Linked DNA regions of Lonchura striata. The protein of the gene in region 1 purifies or fractionates together with the protein of each later gene. This does not show direct contact. Links are inferred from orthologs where the notes say so. Each region holds a gene or a part of one and is shown in the gene's direction. Other genes may lie near its edges.

Region 1 (7,712 bases):
ATCCTGCCATCCCATCTCTGAGGTCTGTGACAGTGGCCAAGGGAAATCAGTCTCCCCATGCAAGACCTTCCAGTAAACAACCCTCTAGTAGGAAGGGTGTAGTAGGTAGGCACAGACAGGCAAACCTCACCTGGGACACCTGGGCATGGATGACACCTGGGAGAAGGCAGGCAGCCATGGAGGAAGCTGATTTGGGATCACTAGATGGTGCTGTCGACCTTGAAATGGGAACGACAGCGCTAAGACGAGGGAACAGCTGAGCTTACAGCCAGAGCATCTGCACAGAGCTATGGTTGACTAACAGCATCCTGCATGCTGCTCAAACACCAGATGGACCTGCCCCTCAGGCTCTGGCAGTGAAGCTGTAGAATGGGTTGTATTGCTCTGGGGAATGGTTTCTCCCTCCCCAGAGACCTCTGTAGCTGTGACCTGTTAGTTTGACCCTTCCTTCCTTTCCTGACATAATTGGCTGGGAGCCAAGTAGCCCTTACTGTACTGAGCCTAGATAAGGCTCTGCCCCTTCCTGGTTCTCTCTCTTTCCCTCTTCCTCCTATGGAATAAACATCTTGGACCACATTGGGGGTTGGAGCCTCTTTTGGAATCTTCACCCAGCTCCTGGAACACTCTCCCCTCAAGGCCTTACAGATGTGGGCTAGCCTGGTAACTTCGGGGGGCTGCACAGGAAGGTGTCTCAGAGATGGAGAATAACAAACACAGGAAAATCAGGAACTGGACATGATCATGCTGTGCCCCACCCCATGGCCTTATGTCTGCTCTTCTACACCCTGCAGGAACCATGGGGAACAGGGACAATATTTCAAAGCTTGTGCTGCAGTAGGAGTAGATGTGAAAAGGGACCACCAGAAAAGGCTACTTTGATGTGGACTATCAGGTGTTATCTCCCATCTCCAAGGCCCTGGCTGCCCATGAGTGCTCAGCAGAACTCATGTACCCTGGCAGTGATGCAGAACATTGTTTTGGGATCAAGCTCATGGAGTGTAACAAGCAGAGCAGTGCCATGGGCTGGCAGCAGGTATAGCTTCAGCACACAGCAGCAAATGATATTGCAAGGGGAGTCGTGGCTCGTGGCACAAGGGCAGCTGGCATCGCTGGGGAGAGGATGTTAGGTGCAGTCTGCCTCGCCAGCCTTACAGACACATGCCTGATGGAGATCTCTGCTGCCACCCCCTTCCTGACCCATGCCAGCCCCACCAACTCCAAACTCCTACTCCTCCTACTGGGAAGTGGCCTCACCTTTGAGACCTGCAGGACACACAAAGTTTTAAAGTATCCTGATTTTTCTCCCAGTTTCAGTCAGGACAGTGTTAATTTTTGCAATAGCCAGGAAGGGTCATGGCCAGGACCTAGAGGCTATTCTGTACTGAATATTTAAAGAAAAAAGAAAAAAAAAAATAGAGACATTTCAGGCTATCTTAATTTTTACTGTTGTGGACACTGACACCTGTAATCTATCTGTGTAACCTTACTTCATTTCATCACTGCAATACCTGAGTGCCTCCCCTGTGGATATCCTGGCTCACCTGCCATTCCTCTCTTTTACAATTGTATGTCTGAAACTGGGCCTTAATAGGAGAAGAATCCTCTCAAAGCTTTATGCAAAACCATAGAAGAGATGGAGCAGCACCGGCTTGTGCTGCCATAAGCAGAAGCTGGGGCACCAGACTCCCTCTGCTTCCCTTATGCAGCATTCTTTGGTGCTGAAGGACCTTCTGATACAGCTCTTTATGGTGCTCTGCATGAGTAATATGCTACAGGCAAAGCTGGGGATGGAATAGGCACTACAGAAAGAGGGAAGATGGAGAAAACTTCCAGTGCTACTTACAGCAGGTTCAGCAGCAAAAAGCAGATTGTGGGTAAGAAAGAAGACAACCAGGTAAGGATGGTCCCTCCATCCCAGCTCCTTGTCCTGCGCTGGCTGCAAACCAGCCTGGAGGTGAAGGGAAATTACAAATGCAAGGTCAAATCCTCCCAAAGCAGCCCCAGGAGATGCAGTTCTCACCTGTGTTCAGGGTGTTCAGCTGGCACCCAGCCAGGCGGCTCTGTCCATGCTGCCCCTGCAGTGCCTAGACAGCACATTGCTCCTGCTGCTGCCCCAGCTCATGGGACCAGGAAAGCCAACACCTGCCTCTTGCTGCCCTATCTGGGGACAGCAATATGCAGTTCTTTCAGGCTAAAGTGAAATACTTGGATTTTCTGGTGTGCAAGTGATCTTTTTTTGAGATCAAGAATGGTGTTTTGATGCCAGTTAAGATTTTGGCCCTGGGACAGAAACTGTTGACTAGTGAAGGGCGGGGGAGGCCAGTGGAGAGGCTATGTGACAGCCATGGGCTAGGGCAGCTGAAGATTATTTCATTACGTCAGCATGGAAATTAAGATTGCATAGGAAATCTTTACTGTCTCTATACCTTCTGATCGTTTGATTACAACTGCACTGTGGTTTTAATCATGCTCAACATAAAATTTCCTGAATTTTGTACATGTTCACTAAAAAGAGAATTCCATTAAGCAAAGTTCTGATTTTCTCCTAGTTGTCCCTGTATGGCTGTTTCTAAATCACTTGTAAGCCTTTTCTGCCATGCCGAGTATTACACAGCACAGAGCCAAGCAAAATAAAATGATCGATATTGTAATGGACTTCTCATCGTAGTACCATGGCAGAAATAATAAATGTCATGATATATGACAACCCTTCTAAATCCCTATGGAGCCAAATGAGACACAGTAAGCATATATCTCCTACTTCCTACCCCTGCTTTTCTTCTCTGTGTGTGTTCCTCCCACATTTATTTCCTCCATAAAGGAAGACTGTAATTGTATTGAACGTGACTCTGCAGACAGGAGAATCTGCTGTGGTTCCACTGTTCCCTTCAGCAGACCCAGGTGGACTTCTGGAGCTGCAGTTTGTGAGCTGCTCAGTGCCCTGCGGGGCAGGACTTTTGGTGGCTTTGGCCAGCAGCCATGTCCTCCTGCTGGCACTACAGGTAAATGCAATTCACTCCCTTCCACTATTACTGTGTAGGATTCACCTTCCAGCTCCAGTCTGACATCTGCCTCATGCCATAACTTCATTTGAAATTTAGATAATAGTTCCCATTTTCAATCCAGCCCAAACAAATGCCTTATCTGCATCTTTGCAGCTTTTAAGGCTGAGATGTCTGATCAGTTAATGATGTCTCTCTCTGCCAGGGACACCAGCCACTGCACTTGTTGGAATTTCTGCCTCTGCTGCTCCACAGATCCCTGGGCGTATCTTAGGGCAGCTGAGGGTGTATCTATAGTGGCAACTATTTTCCCATAGTTGCCACTCTTCCTACCCAGCAGTAATTACTTCGTAAAGGTAATAAGAAATTAACCAAACCAAATGTTAGAAAATGAAATAAACACTGTTTGTTCTCTGGTTCCTTGTGAGACTTTAAGGGGAGTAAATCACAGAATCACAGAATATCCATCCTCACTCATATGCTAAACTGTGCTCCAATTTATTCCTGTACCTTGTTTTCACACACAATTTAACTATTATTGAATTTTGGTCAGCCTGTGGCAACCACCAGAAACACCTCAGTGGACAGCCTGCCCTAATGTTAATAGGATGGTAGGGGATCATATCCTGGTGAAACCATGTGTATCCTGTGGAACTGCATTTGCTGTTTGCAAAGGGGCCAGCTTCATGGAAGAGCGAGGAAGGGGAGTCTTTGACAGCGTAAGTTTCATTTTCCCATTGTGCCAGTTATTCTTCAGTTTGTCTCATTTTCAGCAACATCATTTAATGTTGATCCTTTATGAATTCCAATGAAGGTAACTCTACAAGTTACACATTTCAAATCAGAAGGGAGGTAAGAGCACCAAGAGCCTATAAACTTTTATTTTTGCAGAGTAAGTGTTCAGGTAAGTGTGAGATTAGTACACAAGTGACCCTTGTGCAGATCAGCCCCAGGACACGATGGCCTGGGATGTGTGGATGATGAACCCAGCCCAGGGGCAGTGATGGGCTCCCACCACGGTGGCAAACAAGTGCTTCCAGGACTAGTAGATCTACGTATAAAATAACCCTAGAACTTTTAACTTTGTTGTGACAGCTTTCCCCGTGCGCTAATTTCACATTAAAAAGTGGTTTGCCCCCATCATCCGCCAGCTGAAAAGGAGGTTCCCAGAGTGTTGTTGTCCCTGGCCTTCAGAGCCAGTGGCGCAGGGAGCAGTAGCTCGGGATGGGAGCCCATCCTGACAGGCAACGCACAGGAAGGGAGCTGCTTTCGTTCCTGTATGATTTTAGTCAGAGATGGCAGCAGCAGCCAGCTGCCGCCACAGAGCGAGCAGGGCGCGTTGCACCGCAGCACGGCTCTGCGGCCGGGGAGCCGCTCGGGCCGGCGCGGCTGCAAGCTCTGAGCCGGGCCCGGGCCGCGGCCGCGCCCCTTCGCTGTCCGCGCGTGCTGCGCGGCCGGGAGCGGAACGCTGCGGTCCGCACCCACGGCTCTGCCCCACGTGTGGCGCGGCTCCCCGCGGCTCCCCGCGGCTCCCCGGCGGCGGCCGCGGGCCCTGCGGGCGCGGCGGGCTCGGCCCCTCACACGGCCACGGCCACGGCCATGGCCCCGCCCCCTGGCGGCCCGCGCGCGACCACCGTCAGCGTGCGTGCGCAAGGGCGGCGCGGGGCGCCGAGGGACGGGCCCAGCGCGCGGCTCTCGCGAGAACACGAGGCTATATCAGCGAGTGGGCGGGCGCGAGGCTTCCTTTAGTGCGCGTCCACCCGAAGCGTAGTGTTCCCGGTCGGTCGTGCCCCAGCCCCGCGATGGAGGACAGCGCCATGGACATGGAGAGCATGGGCCCCCTGCGCCCGCAGACCTTCCTCTTCGGTAACGCTCGCCGCGGCCACGCTTTCCTGGGGCCCGCTGGCCCCGTCGCCCCCGCAGGCCCCGGGGCCGAGCGCCGTGCGGGGCCGCGGCCTGTGCCGGCCGAGCGCCGCCGCTCCGCGCGCGCGGCGGGGCCGGGGGCTCGGGCGGGACCGGGGGCTCGGCCGGGGGCTCGGGCGGGGCCGGGGGCGTGCGGCGGCCGCTTCCGCGCACTCCGCACGTGGCGCGCGGCCCGCACGTGGCGGGGCCCGTCGCGCTCTGTTCCGCGCTTTGTTCGCGGTGTGTCCCGCCGTTCCTAAGGATGCGGCGCCCCGGCAGCGCCCGCGGAGCACGTGGCAGCGCGGCCGGAGGCGGAGCACGTGGAGCGCCGCGGCCGCGCGCGCCTTGCTGCTCCGGGGCAGGCCCGGCCGCCACGGCGGCGGTTCCGGAGGTGCCATCGTCCCGGGCACCGCGGCGGACGCTGGGCGGGGATGCTCTGGAAGCTGCTGGGTTTAACCGGGCCGTGCGGGGAGCTGCGTGGCCGCCAGCAGGCCGCGCACTCGCGCGGGGTTTTCTTCACCCCACGTGTTCCGCTCCTTGCGTGCCCGCAGCGTGCCGCTACTTCCCTGCGAGTACGCGGCCTGGGAGCAGCAAGCTGCCAAGTAATGCTGTTTTAAATAAAGCAGGAGGCTTATAATTGGATTGTTTTACAGGCTGCGAGCTTAAAGCAGATAAGGAGTTTCAGTTCAAAGTAGATGATGAAGAAAACGAACATCAGTTGTCACTAAGAACGGCAAGTAGTGTTTGTTTTTTTTTGCTTCCCATTTAAATATACTGGTGTGCTGTGATGGTGTGTTTTTTAACGTGTCATTTATTTCTCCAAACATAATTCAGGTGATAATTGATATGTAAATCTGTATAAAGTAAACATCTCTTACTAGCAGTGGGGCATATTCTGTAATTTCAGATATTTTCTGTATTGAAAACATTTCTTCACTGATGTTTCATTCACAGCAAACAAATGCAAGGCTGGAAAACGTTAAAAATCAACTTACAGTTAGCTAGTAAATATCTGCTAAATTGAGAATTTAGGCTATACATGAGGCATCCCTAAGGTAAATAATGCAGATGCTACAGGAGCAGAGGGAGAAAGATAGATGTGTAAGAGTCATACATAGGCACACTCTTGTGGACTACTATAAACCTGATTTTGAAAACCATTTCAGTGTGTTCCATAAGCTGACTCTAACTCTCTCTTTCCCAGAAGCAGATAATAAGTAAATCTAAATTAGACAGCAGAAGGTTTATGTTTTGACTTACTGTCCTTGGTTTGGCCTTTCCAAGGATGTAACTGGGAAGCCCCATCTTTCATTCAGATAATTCATCTAGCAGACTCCCAGGAGTTCTTGGGTGGGTCCTTGGAGCTTCCTGAGGCCACACAAGTCAGACACAATATTTCAAGGCTTTTGTTCTTGGCTGATCATGTTTTTTTTGGGTAGCAAATCAATAATGTGCACTGTCTTAGCCGTCAAGAAATTAAAGAGTTGTAGCATCTTCATGGCATGTTCCTGTGTTTATTTAAATGCAAGGAAATGCTTTGATGCCTGGAAGAAGAAAGTCTTAAAATTGTTGACTAATTCCTACAGGAGAATTGATTCCTGGAGGTCACTTGCATAATGAGTATCTCCAAACACTTAATGGTGTTACTTAAAACACTTCTTTTTTTTATGTGAGTCATGTGTTTTCCATACTATATTATGAAAAGTACAGCCTGGACTTGACAAAGAGTAATTTGTTGTTAATTACAATTCCTTTTGATGGAAGAACATAGCAATGTATAGGGCAAGTCCACATGCAGATTTCTTGTATCTGAATATTTGTTACATAGCCAAAATTAGTGATACTTAAATTGTATTGTTTTACTCAAGAGTTCCTTTTCTATTTATACTTTCAAAATTAATTGTAGCATTTCTTCTGATGTTGTACAGATGGATGAAGCAGATCAATCCTCACCACTACTTTGTTGCTAGGCTTGTGGGGGGAATTAATCTTCTGTCAGTAACTTCTTTCCATAGAATAAAAAGGGATGATGCACTGGAGAAAGGGTTAAGATACCAAAGGACAAACTAGGAAATGTTTAAGATACTTGGAGGGTCTCAGACATGGTTTAAACAAAAGACCTTGTTGAGTAGAGGAAGGACTTAAAAAAAGGTAAAGGCGGCAAAAACCTGCGGGCTGGTCTATGCTCCCGATAAAAGCCTAGATGAGTAAAGACAGTGTTAAAATACAAATGCAGTGGGGGACTTGGGCATGAGGTACAGCAAGATGGGAAGAAAAGGGTAAAAGGGAAAAGAGGTGGATAAATGTAGGAGGTAAAAGTGCCATGAGTTTCTGTAAATGTCTTACTAATGACAGTTGTGTATAGGGATGGTCACTGATTCATCACCTATTTGGTGTGCATTCCTTCAATATAGAAGTTAAAGCACAGGCATGGATGCTTGCCAAACACAGAGAAATAAATCACAAATAACTGCTATAGTATTAAACTAGGGCAAATGACAGGGTATGCACTAAAATTTTTGTCCCACTAGCTGAGCAATTCAGTGTTGTTGACAGCACATTTGAGAGGTGAGATCAGAGCTGCAATTTCACCTCTTTGAATTGCTAATAACAAAATTTGCCAGTAGTGAATCCAGTGTTCTGTTTTCCAGCCTTCAGTCTGATACATCTAAATCTGGACAATTACAGTCTCATTAAAGCTCAGCTCTTGAAGAATGGAAACTTCCGTGCCTCTGCCTGAAGTGTTCACACCTACATCTCCTGTGGGGGTTGGAAAGATTTCTTGTGAGGGGTTTCAGGAAAGGAAAC
Region 2 (7,454 bases), on another chromosome or scaffold:
TTTCCTTTACTCCAGTGGAGAGAGAAGGGTGCTCCCAAGGTCTCCTCTCACCACCCAAATTGCTCCACATCTCCCAATCCTGGTTTTTCTTCTTTATCTCACACCTACTGCAAGTCCTCTTCTGGTCCCACTTTTTTCTCACGCATCCTTTTTTCCAGGGCTGCACTTGTTCTCTTGCTGAGCAGATCCAGAGGAGAGTCCACCTGGCTGGGAGGCTCTGGGTGGCTGTGTGGGCTTGCTGGGGGCTCACAGGCACACCACAAGATCCTGCTGCCAGCTCCAGGCAAGGCGTGTTGGGGAATGGAATTGGCCTGCCACAAGGGAAATCTTAGGGGAATTGGCTCCTTCTGGAAATAAAAATCCCCTTCTTTTCTGCAGTGTACCAGAAATTATCCCTACAAGGAATACTTGGAGGGCATGTGGAGACTAAATTTGCATGTACAAAACTCTCTGTGGGAGTCACCTGTAGGTTTCCTTGTCCATGAACCCCAGGAAATGCTACAGCATCTGCCAGAGTGACAATGGGTATGCCTGTCTCCAGGGTCCCTTGCCAATTCCTGCAGCATCCCTCCTCAAGAAAGGATACTTCTCAGAGAAGAAATCCCATACTCTGCCAGACACTGCTGACTTTCATCCCTGCAGGCTAGTGTGTCTCAAGCTGCCCATTTCAAGGCAGAGGACGTGCACTTGTCTGTGACTACTTGAATTAAGTGCCATTTGTCACAGCAAGCTCTGCACCCACTTCATGCTCATCATCCTTGAGGACTCTCCTCTTGGCACAGACAGGGGGATAATGAAGAAAAAACTTAATTAGACTACCACACAGTCCCATCTAATTTTCTGTCCTGCATTAATCAGGGCCTGGGGAACTGTGCAGTTGGGAAGAGAGAGGACAACCCCTGAGTGCCTGGTGCTGCTGGGTCACCATCCATCAGCTGTGGTACCTGCTGGCATAGGAGCACATGACGGGGTGAGGTGGGCACCAAGAGGAGAAAAGGATTTGCAGCATGGGGTTGTTCAAGAGGTTTTGAGCAGCACCTAGACCTAGGATTAGTAAATTTGCTTTAATAGTGGTTTTTGGTGGGGTTTTATTTGTTTGATTTTTTTTTTCTGCCACCTTTGCCATGCTGTACACATCAGATCACTGCTCAGACCACACAGCAGGTGATGTCAGGTTGAGGTGCTCAGGGACACATTTCATTGCTCTTCTAGCTCGTTTCCCCTTCTCTGAGCACCCACTGGATGTTTGCTGGAGATCCCTGACAATTTTTTTTTGGCAGCAGACGCCTGCACCACCCACAGGTAAAACTTTTCCTCTCCCGAATGCACTTGGTGCTGCTGCTACCCGGCGAGTACCAAATGCGTCCTGGGAGGCACGAAGGAGGCAGGGCGGGATGCGCCGCTCAGGTGCGCCCAGCAGGGTTTGGGGGAGCCGGGACACGCAGCCTTCTGCCACCATCTAGTGGAAACCCGCGGCGGCCACAGCCTGAACGGGGCGTTTGGGAGCGCTCCCTCACTCACCTCAGCTGGGATTCCCCTCGAGCTGGCCACCCAGTTTGCCTGGCTTTTGGGTGGCCGCGTTTGCCTCGCAGCGCAGTTCCCCCCTCCAGGCCCTGGGCAGCCGCAGCCGGGTAGGGAAAAGCACAGGGTGAGCGTCTGCTATGCCAGAAACTGAGAATCCACGGCAAACCCCTCCTGGGGTCTCCACTGAACCAGCTAAATTCCCTTTAACTGTGGAATTATAGCAGCGCTCCCCAGCCACACACATGCTACAACAAGAGACAGCCATAAAATGACCTAAAGTGTATTTACTGCACAAATAGAGCTGTCAAACCTGCTCTTTTGGCCAAATTACCCTTCTCACTGATGCTTCTCTGTGAGACTTCCCTCGGCATTTGAAATTCCTGGAGCTGCCTGCAGAGGAGCTGGGCTGTGCTGAGCCACAGCAGGGACAGCCCTGCAATATGGTGCGTCCCAAGGCTGGCCTTGCTCCACTCCGGCATCATCCTGCCCAGTGCTAGGGCTGAAAAATCCTGGCCACACATGGGATACAGGGAAGAACCCAGCCTAAACACTGGCATCTGCAATGTCCTGGGCCCTTTTTGGCCATAAGAGCAGCTGGCAGGGTTGGGCCATATCCAGACCTGCTCAATGGTGCATGGATAACAGTGCATGGACTGACACAGAACATGGATTAGCACAGAGCATGGATTGATATGGAGCATGGATTGGCACAGAACACGAATTAGCACAGTGCATGGACTGACACAGAGCATGGATTAGCACAGAGCATGGATTGATATGGAGCATGGATTGGCACAGAACATGGATTAGCACAGTGCATGGACTGACACAGAGCATGGATTAGCACAGCCTCATGGCCAGTGCTGGTTCTCACTCCTCTGCACGGGGTGCTGTGCTCCTTCCCCAAACACTGGGCTCTACTGCAGCCTCACAGATACCAGAGGCAAGGACAACCTTCCAACACACTGCTGGGGAATGGGACTGAACACAGGCCATACTGAGAACTCCCCTGCCAGGGTTGGGAACCAAGACTAGCCAGCTGCCAGCCCAGCCCTTTGCAGATCCCACTGCTGGCACTGGTATTGGCCAAATGCAGTGTCCCAGCTGCCAAAACTGCCCCTGGCTAAAGCAACAGTTGTACCTTTATCATGACAAACCAGCAAGGCCAGCCCCAGCACAGGCAGCAGAGCTGTTCAGGCAGTCATGGTACATGATCTTGTTGAACCACATGCGTGGTGAGGAGAGTGCAATCAGCTCTTGCTTCAGACAGTTAAAAATCACTTTCAGGTCTCTCTGTCTTCCATTCCATCACTTTGCATCCCCTTGGGCCACACTTAGTCTTGTGTCACTGCTTTCCCCATGCAGTGACCCCACTTGGGGACAGCTCCTGCAGCACACAGTGGGACATGAGCCAGACATTGCTATTTCACAGGCAGGGTCCAGCTGCCCTACACAAGGGTTTTGCCAGCTGGGATCCCCATCTGCCTGCATGTGTGTGACCAGGACTGGGACACAGGCAGTATCCCACTTTGTTCCAGCTCCTTCCCTCCCCATACTGGCTGATGGTGGCAGGCCCTGCACAGGCTTGGATTACTCCTGGAGAGGCTGATTGATCCCATCACCTCTCAGTGAGCAGCTGCCCTTAGCTCAGCTTGCCTGGAAACTGCCTCTTCTTAACCAGCAGAGAAAGAGGCATAGGACAGCCTAAGAGCTGGGTATATTGCCTCAGCCACAGTGTGGCACTGAACAATCTTGGGGTGCCCCCTCAAAGGCACCAGGGCCATGCAGGATGGCACTCATTGAGAGTCTGCATTTTTATTCCGGGGCTCACTAGGATCTCATGTTCCCCAAGTCAGGTGCTTATCTCAAGTAGGCCATGGATGAGCAAGCTGCTACAGTCACCCATGCTTGAGTCAGGAGCCCCCAGGAGCTGGCTGGATGCCCAGTTTGAAGGGTAGGGGAGGTAAGGCAGTAGGGAAAGCCCAGCAATGGAGGCCACTCTGTGTCAGGTAGTGGCAAGGCAGCACCCAGCCCGGCCAGCAGAGTGACAAGTGAAACAGGGGTACCGGGTCTGCCCTGGGGTCATTTCTACCCTCAATTTACAGCCACCGGGGAAAAATTCCACAGGGAGAAAGGTGGTGTCTTCTTGCAGTGACTGCATTCAAAAGCATCCATCAGGCAAGCACAGGCTTATTTTTTTCTTTCATTTTGGGCCTTTTCTCCCAGCTGAAGGAGTGAAGGCTGGCAGCTGCAGAGTGCAACCACAACCTCGACAGCAGCAGCAGCAGCACACTGACCGGCTCCTACGGAAGCTCCTTCAGCTGCCCACGGGTGCTTTGTGCTTCCCGAGGGTCGGGGAGGGGATGCGGAGCCAGGCAGAAGTGGGTGGCAGAGATAGCGCTGGGGCAGAGACAGCCCCAAAGCGGGAGGCAAAAGCGTGTTCGGGCAGAGCGGCACGCCGAGCTGCCGCCGGGGCGGTCGGGGCCGCCGTGAGCGCCGGGCACGGCGGCGTCTCCCGGAGCCCCGGAGCCCCGGAGCCCCGCCCGGGCCCGGCACGGCGCCGCGGCCGCCACGTGCGGCCCCTGGGCCCGGCCAGGCCGCCCGGCCCCGCGCATGCGCCGCGCCGCCGCCGTCCCGCGGCCTCCCGGGCGGGCGGTGCGTCCCCCCCGCGCTCGGCCCCGCGGCTGTAACGCGCCCTGCGGTTGGCCGATCGCAGAACGCCGGCGATTGGCGCGGCGGCTCGAGGGGCGGGGGCCGCGATTGGCCGGGCGGCGGGGCGCGCGCGGCGATTGGTCGGAGCGGGGGCGGTGGGGGCGGGGCGTGGCGCGGGGCTAGCAAAGGGGGCGGAAGGGGCGCGCGCTCGCTCTTTCGTGTCAGTGCCCGGCCCGGCCGCCCGCGCGTCCCCGCCGCTCCCGCTACTCGCCCGCGGCCCGATCCCCGCCGCGCCGCCGCCCCGCCGGACGCGCCCGCTCCGCTCCCGACACAACTCGGCCGCCGCCCCTGCGCCGCCAGGCACCGCCGCCATCATGGTGAAGATCACCAAGGTGAGGGAGTGGCGGAGCGCAGCCGCCGGGCGGGAAGCGGTCCAACGCCGCCATGATGGGGCGGGAGGGTGCGGATGGCGGCGTATCGGGGAGGAAGCCGGGCCGCCTTCTCGCCGCCGTCCGCTCGGGCCGCGCGGCGGCACCTGGCCTGTTCTCCCGAGCCGTGAAGATGGCGGCGAGGGGAGGGGCCGCGGGCCCGGAGGCAGTGGATTCAAGCCCCAATTGTCCCGCTCTGCTCCGTGCGGCGGCGGCGGGAGGGGAGCGGGCGGCGGGGCGGGGGATCCGCGCGCGTGTGTGCGGGACGCGGGTGGGCCCCGCGTGCGGGCGCGCGCGGGGTGGGGGGGGCGGGGCTACGTCACAGTGCGGCCACGTGGGGCGCGCGGACAGCGAGCACGTGGGGGCGCGCGGAGCTCCCGGGAAGGCCCCGCGCACCGGCGGGCGCGGCCCCGCCACCGCGGGGCGGCCACGTGGTGGGGACAATCGCCCCGCCGGAGCGAGCGGCGCCCGCAAGCGACCCGGGTGAGCACGGCACCTGAACGTGCTGCTCCCGCTCTCTTGCAGACCCCGAAGAATCAGATGAAACAGAAAAAAATGGCTCCTCCCCCGAAAAAGTTCGAGGAAAGTGAAGAAGAGGAGTCCTCTGATCTAGACGAAAGCAGCGGAGAAGAGGTGATTGATCTAGAAAGGGGAGGCAAAAGGACGCACGTGTTACACAGAAGTGTCGTGAGGGTTGTGGGTTACACTGTAACAGGCGTTTAATCAATAGTCGGTGTTTCTCTATAAATTGTGGCTAAAGAATAAAGTGGATTTTGTAAGAATAAAGCATTATGGGGAAAAATAGCTCAGCTACTGTGTTTCCAAGCTTTTGGAAGTGCTTCTGATGTTTTAAAGCCATACTAAAGCTGATAAGCATGTGGGTACCTAATTATTCTAGTAATCAGCAGTGTAACATTTGTCCACGTGTGGTTTATGTGCAAGTGTAAAAATTCCAAGGTATAGAATGCTAATAGACACAATTGGTCTTTGTTCAGGACCAGGGAGTTTAGAGGTGCTTTGATGTTCCATAAGTAGGCTTCTGAAAGCATGAAAAAGCTGTTTTTGACCTTTATTCATCTGAGTGGGCATTTAAGGTAAATTTACAGAACCTGTCAGGTTACTCTGTAGATTTCAGTTGCTGTATGTTTGATAGTGAAGTAATGGTAGGTTAAACAGGCCAGCATGAATCTTACACTAATGTGTCTTTCAGATGATCCCCCAGAAGAAACCACAAAAAGTTGCTGTTACCCCAGCCAAGAAGGCTGCAACTCCTGCAAAAAAAGTTGCTACTCCTGCAAAAAAGGCAGTTACACCTGCAAAGAAGGTTGTGGCTACTCCACAGCCGAAAAAGGCTGTTACTCCAACTCCTAAAAAGGCTGCTGTCCTAACCAAAGGAGCAAAAAATGGAAAGAATGCCAAGAAGCAGGAGAGTGAAGAAGATGATGAAGATGACGAAGATGATGATGAGGAGGATGAAGAAGATTCGGGTAAGTTACTTTTGAAATAGGCATTGACTAAAGCTGGTTCAATCAAGTCATTAAATATGAGTCCCTTTGGAATTGGAAGCATTTGTGTGATTAATACTTGGGGGAGTTCATTGATTAATGAGGGGTTATGAAGGAGAGGTGGGCAATGGGTGAAGTTTGGAGGAGAGCTTGGGCTGCAGCTGCCTTACACACGGCGTGTAAAACATCTCCTAGTTTCTTGATTGCCCTTTCCTGAACTTTTGCGCAAAATTTTGGGAAGCTCTAAGCACTTTTTACCTATACCACTGAACCTTAGTAGTAAAGACTTGTACTGTTGGTGCAGATGAGGAAGAGGAGCCACCAATGCCTGTGAAGCCTGCAGCCAAAAAGCCTGCAGCAGTACCAGCCAAAAAGCCTGCAGCTGTGCCAGCAAAGCAGGATTCTGAGGAGGATGAGGATGAAGAGGATGATGAAGAAGATGATGAAGAAGATGGTATAAGATGTTTATTATTAAACACTTTCAGGGACCTGGGGGAGGGAGGTTACTTAAAGGATAATGGGATTGATGCAGTGTGTGCTCGGCTGGTTTTAGCTGGTTGCTGTTGTCCATGTTGCTGAAAGGATGTTAATTTCCCTTTTGTCAGTAAAACTTCTTACTGTTGGTGAACAGGTTTTGGGGTTTTTTTTAATGCAGTAAAACACAAGGCAGAGAGACAATTTTCCTGGAAACATACAAATTTCAGGAGGCATGAGAAACATCTTGCTTAACAGTATTTTGTTTTCTTAGTTTCAAAATATGCTTAATGTGGAACTGTCTGAATACCGTGCTCATCTTGTTTCAGAGTCTGAAGATGAAGCCATGGACACAGCCCCTGTTCCAGTGAAAAAAGCCACTCCAGCCAAGGCTGCACCAGTGAAAGCCAAGGCAGCAGAATCTGAAGATGAGGAAGATGAGGATGATGATGAGGATGATGATGAAGAGGAGGAGGATGAAGAGGATGCCGAAGAGGAAAGTGAAGATGAAAGTAAGTTTAAGTGGCTTTGAGACTCTTTAATAACAGATATGGTGCCTAAGCAGAAATGTGCTACAGTGGCCTTTTGTACTGAGGAGCAGCTTCTGAGTAACAGGAGAAGATCTTGTGTATGAATAGTGTAAGGATTAATGTTCCTGTATTGATGCAATTCAGGAAAAGTTCTGTATTTTACAGTGTTGTTCTGTTTTCTGGCACAGAACCTGTTGTCAAGGAAGCACCTGGAAAGAGGAAGAAAGAAATGGCCAATAAAAGTGCACCAGAGCCCAAGAAAAAGAAAACAGATGGTAAGTGGTGTGGGATCCTCATATGATGCTTGTTTAATGGATTGTGATTGAATTCTGTTGCATGAG

The links.
Region 2: the proteins of NPM1 (region 1) and NCL purify together in Homo sapiens (affinity purification with mass spectrometry; 8 studies listed by BioGRID and IntAct, counting the BioPlex papers as one, with this or other methods). This does not show direct contact. The link is inferred for Lonchura striata from reciprocal best matches to the Homo sapiens genes NPM1 and NCL.

What each region holds. Positions count from the first base shown.
Region 1 is NC_134617.1:17,420,622-17,428,333, reverse strand, and holds the start of NPM1 (nucleophosmin), read left to right. Parts: upstream 1-4,703; 5' UTR 4,704-4,804; coding exon 4,805-4,868; intron 4,869-5,557; coding exon 5,558-5,637; intron 5,638-7,712. UniProt on the Homo sapiens protein: Involved in diverse cellular processes such as ribosome biogenesis, centrosome duplication, protein chaperoning, histone assembly, cell proliferation, and regulation of tumor suppressors p53/TP53 and ARF.
Region 2 is NC_134612.1:18,077,038-18,084,491, reverse strand, and holds the start of NCL (nucleolin), read left to right. Parts: upstream 1-4,434; 5' UTR 4,435-4,550; coding exon 4,551-4,568; intron 4,569-5,129; coding exon 5,130-5,237; intron 5,238-5,814; coding exon 5,815-6,091; intron 6,092-6,413; coding exon 6,414-6,563; intron 6,564-6,912; coding exon 6,913-7,095; intron 7,096-7,301; coding exon 7,302-7,388; intron 7,389-7,454. UniProt on the Homo sapiens protein: Nucleolin is the major nucleolar protein of growing eukaryotic cells. It is found associated with intranucleolar chromatin and pre-ribosomal particles. It induces chromatin decondensation by binding to histone H1.